Oryza sativa Japonica Group: one gene and its partner. Each later gene encodes a partner of the first gene's protein in a complex. Links are inferred from orthologs where the notes say so. Each region holds a gene or a part of one and is shown on either strand. Other genes may lie near its edges.

Evidence for each region. Proteins that work in one complex are often made in the same cells at the same time.
Region 2: mediator of RNA polymerase II transcription subunit 8 (region 1) and mediator of RNA polymerase II transcription subunit 30 share a complex: the UniProt entries of both Arabidopsis thaliana proteins name them as parts of the mediator complex. The link is inferred for Oryza sativa Japonica Group from reciprocal best matches to the Arabidopsis thaliana genes MED8 and AT5G63480.

What each region holds. Positions count from the first base shown.
Region 1 is NC_089037.1:18,127,440-18,132,204, forward strand, and holds part of mediator of RNA polymerase II transcription subunit 8, read left to right. Parts: intron 1-313; coding exon 314-574; intron 575-782; coding exon 783-836; intron 837-935; coding exon 936-1,142; intron 1,143-1,293; coding exon 1,294-1,420; intron 1,421-2,195; coding exon 2,196-2,362; 3' UTR 2,363-4,005; intron 4,006-4,267; 3' UTR 4,268-4,393; exon of another isoform or gene 4,394-4,538; 3' UTR 4,539-4,586; exon of another isoform or gene 4,587-4,684; 3' UTR 4,685-4,765. UniProt on the Arabidopsis thaliana protein: Component of the Mediator complex, a coactivator involved in the regulated transcription of nearly all RNA polymerase II-dependent genes.
Region 2 is NC_089038.1:19,468,543-19,473,243, reverse strand, and holds mediator of RNA polymerase II transcription subunit 30, read left to right. Parts: upstream 1-1,130; 5' UTR 1,131-1,200; coding exon 1,201-1,617; intron 1,618-2,046; coding exon 2,047-2,124; intron 2,125-3,800; coding exon 3,801-3,899; 3' UTR 3,900-4,270; downstream 4,271-4,701. UniProt on the Arabidopsis thaliana protein: Component of the Mediator complex, a coactivator involved in the regulated transcription of nearly all RNA polymerase II-dependent genes.

The DNA.
Region 1 (4,765 bases):
TAGTGCCAGTAATAACAGCTTTGACCATTACGAAATTAATAGAATATGTCCATATTATTGCTAGTTGGGCTGAAAGCAAAAAAAGTTACAAAAGGCAGATGTTTTGTTTCCCGTGTATCAATTTGCCATATAATTTGTAATGGTATATTGGTATTCCTTTCTATGATCAACTGTATTAAGTGTTGGTTAGAATGCTTTCCCTTGAACTATTATTAAGACAATTGCATTTCATAAGAGCAATCACCAACCTGACCTCATGCAGGCCTTTGATGTTTCTATCTTGATGTTCAAATTTGGGCCTTCATTCTAATAGCAGGTGTCTGGAGGACAGTTACTTGGCAGACCTGCTCCATCACCTGGAGCTACAGGAACGCCTAATTTTGAAAATGTATCTACTCCTCCAATGCCATATGCAAACTCCCCTAGGTCAGGGACCAATATGATGAACACCCCTTCACCCCAGCAGCATTTGACGGCACAACAACATAGGCAAAAACTGATGCAAACATCTCAGCAACAGCAGCTACATGCTCAACAGCAACTAAGACCATCGGCTGCTGGGATGCTAGCACAGGTAAGGTAATTTTTATTTCGGAGGCTTTTTTGTTGTCTGGGTTACGGTTTATCATCTCAGTTGTCACAGCACCCAAAGGTTATGTAGCTATTAAAAGCACATTTCTTTTCATTTTCTATGCTGCTGTCTTAAAATTATTCCATTTCATTTACTTCAAAGCATTGTTCCTTCCTTTTCTAGTGCTTGATTCTCCATACTTTTCCTGTAGAGCGCAATTCCTCAGCTACAAGATCTGCAGGGCCAATCCCAACAAAAATTACAGGTAATTCTACCACTGATTGTTTCCCTTTTCTATGTATTCTACTTGCTGAAACAGTAACAATTTCTTACAAACCTTTTAACTTGTTGTAAAACCTTATAGGTCCCTGGCCAACAGCAGATGCAGTACAATCAAGCCTTGTCACAACAGTATCAGAATAGGCAGATGCAAGCTGGGCGCATGCAACCTGGCATGTCCCAGAGTCAACTGAACCAAGGAAATCAGCTAAGAAGTCATATTAGCCAGTTCACTGGAGCTGCAAACAGTGCAATGTTTACTGCTGCACAGGCATCTTCGAACTCACAGATGGTTAGATAGCATCCTCCTTTTTAGTAATTTAGTGCAAAAAAACGTCAGTTGCTACATATTTTAGTTTGTTCAGTGTCATCTATCTTCTAGATTTCTTTTTAATAATCCCCTGATGTTTGTATAACTTGTTTATTTTTGTTTTTGAATTTAGATGGCAAATATACCTGGGTCGATGCAATCACAATCACTTTTGCCACAAATGCAAGGCCTTAATCAGTACAGTTTGACTGGTGGGCATCCTCAAAGGAGCCATCCATCCCAAATGCTGACTGACCAAAGTATGTGCCGTGTTATATTCTTTTTAATTTTGTTTACTATCTATACTCCTTTAAAAGAAGGTAGTGGTGGTGGCAGTGAATCTGCCACCCCCCATCTACTCATTGTAAATTTTGCGGTTACCCCTTGAACTTCTTAATATTAAAGATCAAATCTAAATGGATAGCCACATAAAAGAGTAGATTAAGATGAATATTCCCTATAGCAAAAAAATTGGTAACACATTAATACATTTTCTTTTAGCCGTAGCAAAGCATGGGCATTCAGCTACAGTAGTTGTTAGAGAGATTATATACAACTATCTGCTATGCTGGTTCTGTTACTGTCATACTTGGTACTAGTAAACTCAGAAGATATATGTGCTAATTATTACTGGGTATTGCATTTATCCACATGCTGATCATAGCTCAGAGGAACAAAATATATTGCTCCTGATTATTTATCCTATTGTGAGGTTAGGCAGGATTCAGCTTGTAGGTACAATATTTGTAGTTACATTTGTACCTACAAACAGTCATGGGCATTTCTGGTAAAATTTTTAGCATGCTGTTATTCTATATATGTTTTATATCTCCTAGATTTATGTCTTGTCCAGGCAAGTCACTAGCTTTGTGGTATTGGAAATAGTACTAGTTGAAAGTCTTTAAATGCTCATGATTTAGAACTGTCCATTCATCTATTCTTTTCCCGTACTAATAATTTGTGAGGAAGTTATCCTCAATCCTCACTATTTCAAATGTTATATTTATATTTACCGAGCGATTCTCTCCATTACAGTGTTTGGTATGGGAGGCGCAAATTCTACCAGCATGATGGGAATGCAGCAGCAGCAGCAATTTAACATGCAAGCAAATGCTCAGAACCTGCAACAAGGCATGACAGGCCTCCAGAACCAGACACAAAATCCCAACTTTCCCCAGCAGAGGCAGCAAAACCAGCAATGATTCAAACAAGTAGTGTTTTGCTAGGCCGAGGAAGAATTTTCCATATCTTAAGTCCATGCATGCCGTCAGCAGAGGGCAAAACGTCGTGTGGCTGGCCAAATAGCACAGCAGCAACTGCTGCTTTCTTCCTTGTTACAGGGCATCACCAATGGACACATTAGTTTGGTGATATCAGCTGGCTGTATCTATCTTATAATGATGGATGCTTATGTCTTATGTCTTCATGCGGTCCTCTATTGATTTAAGGGTTTCATGGTAAATCTGCCTCATCTATACTAATATAAAAAGGAGGAGTTGTGCCTAGCAATCCTACATGTGAAATCACCTCCCATCTCATCCGTCCATCTACTATCTCATCTCATCTCCACCGTCAATTCGTTTCGCTATCCTCCTTGCTCCACCGATTCCAATGATTATAGCGACCTTATCCTCTCCACCGTCCACGCGCGAGCCTGTGCCATCTCTGCTGCGCACCCCGCCTCCGCCGCATTCAATCCATCGCCGCAACGACAAATCCTCAAATCCGACGCGCTCTCCCAATCGTCGTCGTTGCCTCCTCCACTCCGCCTCGGTCCTCCTCGCCTCCTCGCTCCTCCTTGCGTGGCGCCGCTCCGCCGTCGTCCCCTTGCTTCGCTCCCCCTCTCCTCCTCGCCTCCTCGCTCCTCCCCGCGTGGCGCACGCCGCCATCGTCCCCTTCCGCCGCCGCCTAGACGCCGCCGTCGTACCCTTCCACCGCTGCCCGGACGCCGCCGCCCATACGTCGCCATCGTCCCCTTCCACAGCCGGAGCCGCGGTCTTCCCCATCGGCCACACAAATCGCGCCATGGCAACTCACAAAATTCCCCACGCGTGGACCACCAAGGCTCCATCGCGCTAATCCCGCGGTGGCTCCCCTAATCACGATAACGCCGCCGCCGCGCCTTTGAACGTTGTTGCGCCATCCGTCATCATCCGCACTTCCGCCGCCGTCGTCACCGCAATCAGTATCCTGGTGGTCCAGGGTTTCCACCAGTGCCGCTGCCCCGTCTCGCCCTGGTTGTGCATCCTCCCACCAGCGTCGCAGCTCCGCCATCGCCCTGCAATCGGTGCCTCAGTGGTCCAGGGCTCCGCTGGCGACGCCACCCCGTCGAGCCACGGTGGTCAAGCCTTCCGCCGACACTGAGCCTCCATCTTTGTCGCTGCTCTGTGAGTCCTCCAGTGTTGCCACCGTTGGAAGAGGATAGACTCAGCAGCTAGGCCTCCCAGCCGTGCGCCTCCCTCTCTTATGTTGGTGATACCTGATTCAACTCAAATCGACTCTTTTCAATCCCCTTTTTTCCTCTTTGTGAATTTTCCCCATTAGTTCTCTAGCTGAATTTTCTTATTCAAGCTTAATGGTATGCATCTCCTTTTAGTTATGTTATTCGGTTCTTCTTTACCTTTGTGGATAATTGCAGGCTATATATTACGTGATTGGTGCTGCAGTTTCATACATACTAACATTATAGTTGTCATGTTGAATATCTTGCAGATTATCTTACATAGAGCAAATTCAACCATGCCTGGTCTCTTATCTTTTTTATTCAGGCGAAAAATAACAGTTCCTTTCTTACTGAAATGGAAAATACATGAAACCCTACACTGCAATTTTCTGCAATGACAGGGTAAATAGCCATATCAAGCCCGTTTGTTGCTGTTGGGCTGCCTGCCTCTTATTTTTCTTCTTTATTTCTGTGATCATCAACAATTACTAGATTGTCGTCCCTTATGGTCTTTCATTTGATTCACTGCACGGTTGATGAGTTCACTCATTTGCTGCCAATTGTTGTTGACTAATTTCTTTTTCACATTTTCTTTTATCTAAATATATTTATTCTGTACTTCTATTGGGCCATATATAGTCTGATTTAGTGTTTGTCATTTCAGGTGACCTTGCTTCTTAGCCAATTGGAGCACAAAAGAAAAATCCAATAAACAGGAAAACATGATTTAGTCTTGGACATCATTTCTGAAGGCTTTTGCACTTAAGAAACGCGAATAGACAAGAATAAGGTATGCAGTAAACATGATACTTCTGTGTGGCTCACTACTTCACTGGTCCTACTACTTTAGAGCTATATATTTTTGTGTGACTGTAGATGGGTTCCATTAATGGATGGCTGTGAGAACTAACATTTCAATTTTGTATATATGGTAGAGCTTCCTCAGGTGGTTGGTAGCAGAACAAGATAGTATAAGTTTTCAGGTGGATAAAGCTAAAGCAAGGCTAAGAATTAAACATGTGTAATGGAAGTATCAGGGATGGCTGTGAGAACTAACATTTCAATTTTGTATATATGGTAGTATAAGTTTTCAGGTGGATAAAGCTAAAGCAAGGCTAAGAATTAAACATGTGTAATGGAAGTATCAGGAATTCAGAATGGT
Region 2 (4,701 bases), on another chromosome or scaffold:
CCTATCTCTGGAGAAGCTTCATCAAGATCGAGCTCGCTTGCCTCATTGGATTTGCCTCGTTGCCCTCACCAAGAACGGTAGCGGAACAAGGTTGCCACGCCCACCAAGGATAGGGGGCATGTGCTCGCCATTGCCTACAGCTTGAGTCTGTCATTAAGGTCAACGACATGGACGACGTGCTCCAGCGAGCCATCGAGGATGACCTCCCCCTCGGTGGCAATGATGACTACAAGAGCTCGTCGACATCTACCCCTTGTCCTCCGACGGGTGGTGGCTATCCCTTGGCCATGCAGAGATATGCACGTGACCCTCCTCTCTCTCTCCCTCACTATTGCCATGTATGGCTCCACAACATATAAAGGAGAAGGACTCTTAGATCTCGATGACAGCGAGGTCAATCACCATCCTTGTCCATTGCTAGGCCTTATTAACCGAGGCGTTGATAGAGGTGAAGGTGGGAAAAGGACGTCGGATTAGAGGAGGCGACAGAGAGAAGGGGAAGTGGCTTGAGGCTCGGATCTGTGAAGGAGAAACACTGATGGGACCCGGCTTTGTCCAGATCAGTGAGGGGCCTCGGTGTGGCAACCGTTGGAGCCCACAATGAAGAGGACATCTACGGCAGCACTGGGCCTCTCCGACTCTCCATCACCGCTGTGGCCCTTCCCTCCTTTGCTCCACAAGGTTGCCAACAGAACCAAGCTTAGTTGGTTGTGTCGGTGGTGGCTTTGTCGTCTAAGTCACTGACACTATTCATGCTTGAGCTCGTCACCGCGTGGAGAAAGGAGAGGGAAGAAAAGAAAAAACAAAAGCATGAGGAGAAAGAGAAGGGGACGACATGTGGGTCCCACATGCTGACTTAATCGGTTAGACCAGTTCAATGAGCCACGTTAACGAAAACCACCCTCAAAATAACTAAAAAGAGTTTTTTTATTCACCGGTGTTAATAGCCGAGGGTTCGATATACACGGTTTGCGATTAAGGGAGAACGAATCAGATTGGACCTATAGTCGAGGGAGACAAATTGGACTTATTCCGCTCAAATACTAGGGCCCTGATAAGGCCAGGCCTGGGCTTCGAGCTTCGGCCCAAAATCAACATATCCTTTGGGCTTTTGGACTATGTTGGGCTCTGAAGCTAAGCTTAGTTCACTTCACAGCCAGCGCCGACGAGAGGAGGAGCAGATCGGCTAGGGTTCCGGCGATGGCCTCCTCGGCGGCGGCGCGGCGGCGGCAGGAGATGGCGGCGGAGGGGCAGCGCCACCTGGAGGAGACCATCGCCGCCGCGTTCCAGATCCTCTCCTCCATGAACGACGAGCTCTGCAACCCCACGCTCTGGTCCTCCTCCTCCGCCGCCGCCGCCGCGGCGGGCGGCGCCGGCGGACTCCAGCACCACGGCAACAACCACCACCACCACCACCAGCACCACCACCACCACGGCGGTCTCCCTCCGCCGCCGCCGCCGCTGCACTCCGCGGACTCCGACGCCGCCGACGCCGCCGGGGGAGGGCCCGGGGGCGCGCCGGGCTCCGGCGGGTCGCTCGACGAGGCCAGGCACCGGTACAAGGTCGCCATGGCGGCGCTCCGCACGTCCATCGCCGCCGTGTCGTCCTGTGCTCAGGTCAGCACACGAATTTACCCGACATTGCATGCTCCCGTAGTATGTATGCAACCACGAAATGCGTGTTTCTAGTGATCGTCTAGTGGAAATTGTGAAACGTATTGCACTCTTTGTTGATATCAAGTTAGGTGCTTATACATAGGTAAGGGAGCCAAATAATTTTTGCAAAAGAAAATTTCTTATTATTGATACCAATGTAAGGGAATGTAAGGGATGTTGTGATGTAGGTTCGGACTACATGGATGTGGACTATATATATGTTTCAATCAACATGAGCTTTTAGTGTTCAATGTTCATGAGACAAAAATAGTAGTTTTATATGATTCTATTTTTAGCAGTAAGTGTAATCCTGATGTGCAAAATATGGTGCTATGGAGAAACCTCATAACAGTTTACTTCTTTGTAATGATGTTGTGGTTTTCTTCGTAGGAGATGGGATCGACAGAACACAAAGCTGATCAAGCTGAGATTGAGAGATTGGAAGAACATGCATCTGCTTTGAGAAAGGTACTATCTTGGGAATGTTCTAGCAATATAATCAATATCATTTTGCTGTATTCAGAATTTTTCCCTGAACCAGTTGGTAACTGGTGCTTATTTAGCCATGTCAATCCCAAATATTTCCCAAACAACCTGTTTTGAACATAATGTGTGTGTGTGTGTGTGTGTGTATATATATATATATATATATATATATATATATATATATATATATATATATATATATATATATATATATATATATATATATATATATATATATATATATATATATATATATATATATATATATATATATATATATATATATATATGTTCCTTTTATGCTTCAATCATTTTAATTCAAAAAGTCCTGAGAAGAGTGTAATCCCCAATTTTTACCTGAAACCATTTTAGATAGCCAGGATCTAGTTTGGCAAGCTGTGATACTGTGTTGCTTGTAGTGTTTTGGATAGTCATGTTCATTCTGTTGAACTCGTCAAAAAAGCGTTCCATCTTGATCTTTCCTGGCAATATTCATGCTTGTTAAGTTGTTATCTTATCATTGTTTTTTCTGCACTGGATACTGCATGTCATTATTGTTTGCATACTTGGATTTGCCTGCTAGTTTAGAACTTACTCCCTCCGTCCCAAAATAAATAAACATAGTATGGAATGTGACACACCCTAATACTAGGAATCTGGATAGGGGTCTGTTACTAGGTTTGTTATTTTGGGACAGAGGGAGTAAGTTTTTGCAAATCCACCTTTGATGCTAATTGGATTCTGGACTATTTAGCAAATCCTTTTCATCCTTTGGAGGGCTGTTGGCTGTAATGGCCTTGTAAGTCTCAACTACTCCTTATCTATGCTAGATCATTATAGCATAAATACAGATTATTCTCCTTGATGTGTATAAATGTGTATAGAAAAATGGATTTGTGGCTTATTCAGTTCCATTTGTATGATTTATTGAGATCAGTGATTTTCATGTACTCCTATGTTTGAAGTGTAGCAAACCATAGTTATTAAGACCGGACCGGTGATCGAACTGTTAGGGTACTCGGTTCACTGGTTTATTGGTCGGACCAGTCAAACCGCCGGTTTAAAGCGGTTCAAATAGATGTGTGTTAGAATACTAGAACAACATGTGACATAGCCGGCTGAGACTCTCCGTGGAAGCAAGGAGGTCTTGGTTCGATCTTCAGTTCAGCAGGTTTTTTCCTATTTTCTCTAACTCCACGTGACACCCTCCAGCAGTCGAACCACCTTCGGTTTTTGTCTGGTTCTGCAGAAAACCGCCCGGTTCAATGGGTTTTTGCCGGTCTGTTTGCTCAACGATCTTTTAGCTGGACTGGACCAGCCAACGCCCTGGTTCCCTTTTTTTCTGATCGGACCACTGGTCTGGTCTAGTTCTAATAACTATGTAGCAAACAGTGTTCTCTAATGCCTCGATTACATAGTTTGTTCCTAAAAAGTTCAAAGCATTTCATTTTAAACATACACTGGTCAGTACAATCTCAATTAGCTGATCCCATGTGTCCTAGTTCAGATTTCTATATATGCCCGTGGTATCATGGTCTGTGGAAGTTTTGAGTCCTCACGCTTTTGACATATATAATACATTTTTTGTTTCAACCTAGTAATGTGGCATACTGTTCTCTGGTACCGTAAACCAGTCTAATACAGGATGTTTACTGCAGGAAATTGAAAGCAAAAACAAGCATGTAAAGCTCCTTATCGACCAACTCCATGATTTAATATCGGACATATCAATGTGGCAGAGTCCTTGCTCAGTGTGAAAACTCATCGGCATTTATCCTTTAGGAATCCAAAAATCATAGCTAGAAGTATGTTAATGCAAAATTGTATCAGCTGACCTTGAGAGAGAAATCTGAAGGGATACAATCAGTTTGCAAATACAATATTGTAATGATTTTTCTTTCAAGTATTCAGAAAGTGTACTATGAGTAGTGATAAACACGAAGTAGCTAGTAACTGAAACAAACATCTGGTGTATATTTTCCCACCAATTTGGCCTTGCTTTCATTTCCAAGACTTCTGTATACTCTTTGAGCAACCATGACCTCTGTACACTTTTTCCTTTGTCGAGCATGATGATATTTGTGTCCTCACAAGCAATGGAAATAGTAATACATATGATTAATCTTAATTTCTTTGGCGAGGTAAAGCTTTGCTTAATAGTAACTTGGCCAAACACCTTCAATTGATCTGCCATATGTGCGCAAGTTTCGAGTAACAGGACCAATACGCCAAGACAAGAAGCTGACCGGTTAGCTGACATGATGTGGAAATAACAGATGTTCATGATTCTTCTGTTCCATCAATTAAGGGTTGGGTAGTTACCAGTTTGAACTTTTGTAGTACTTCAAACATCCAAGGACATTCTGCAAGTCACAGGTTAACCAACAGATATACCATACTGCCCAAGTCATACAGCATTTCATGGGAAATGGCAGAATGCAATAATCAAATCCTACTAAGCAACAATAATGTACTCAGAACATTATATTATTTCCCCTCGAATTACATATGTAAAGTGTTCCTAAATAACAATAATTTACTCAGAACATTAGATAGATC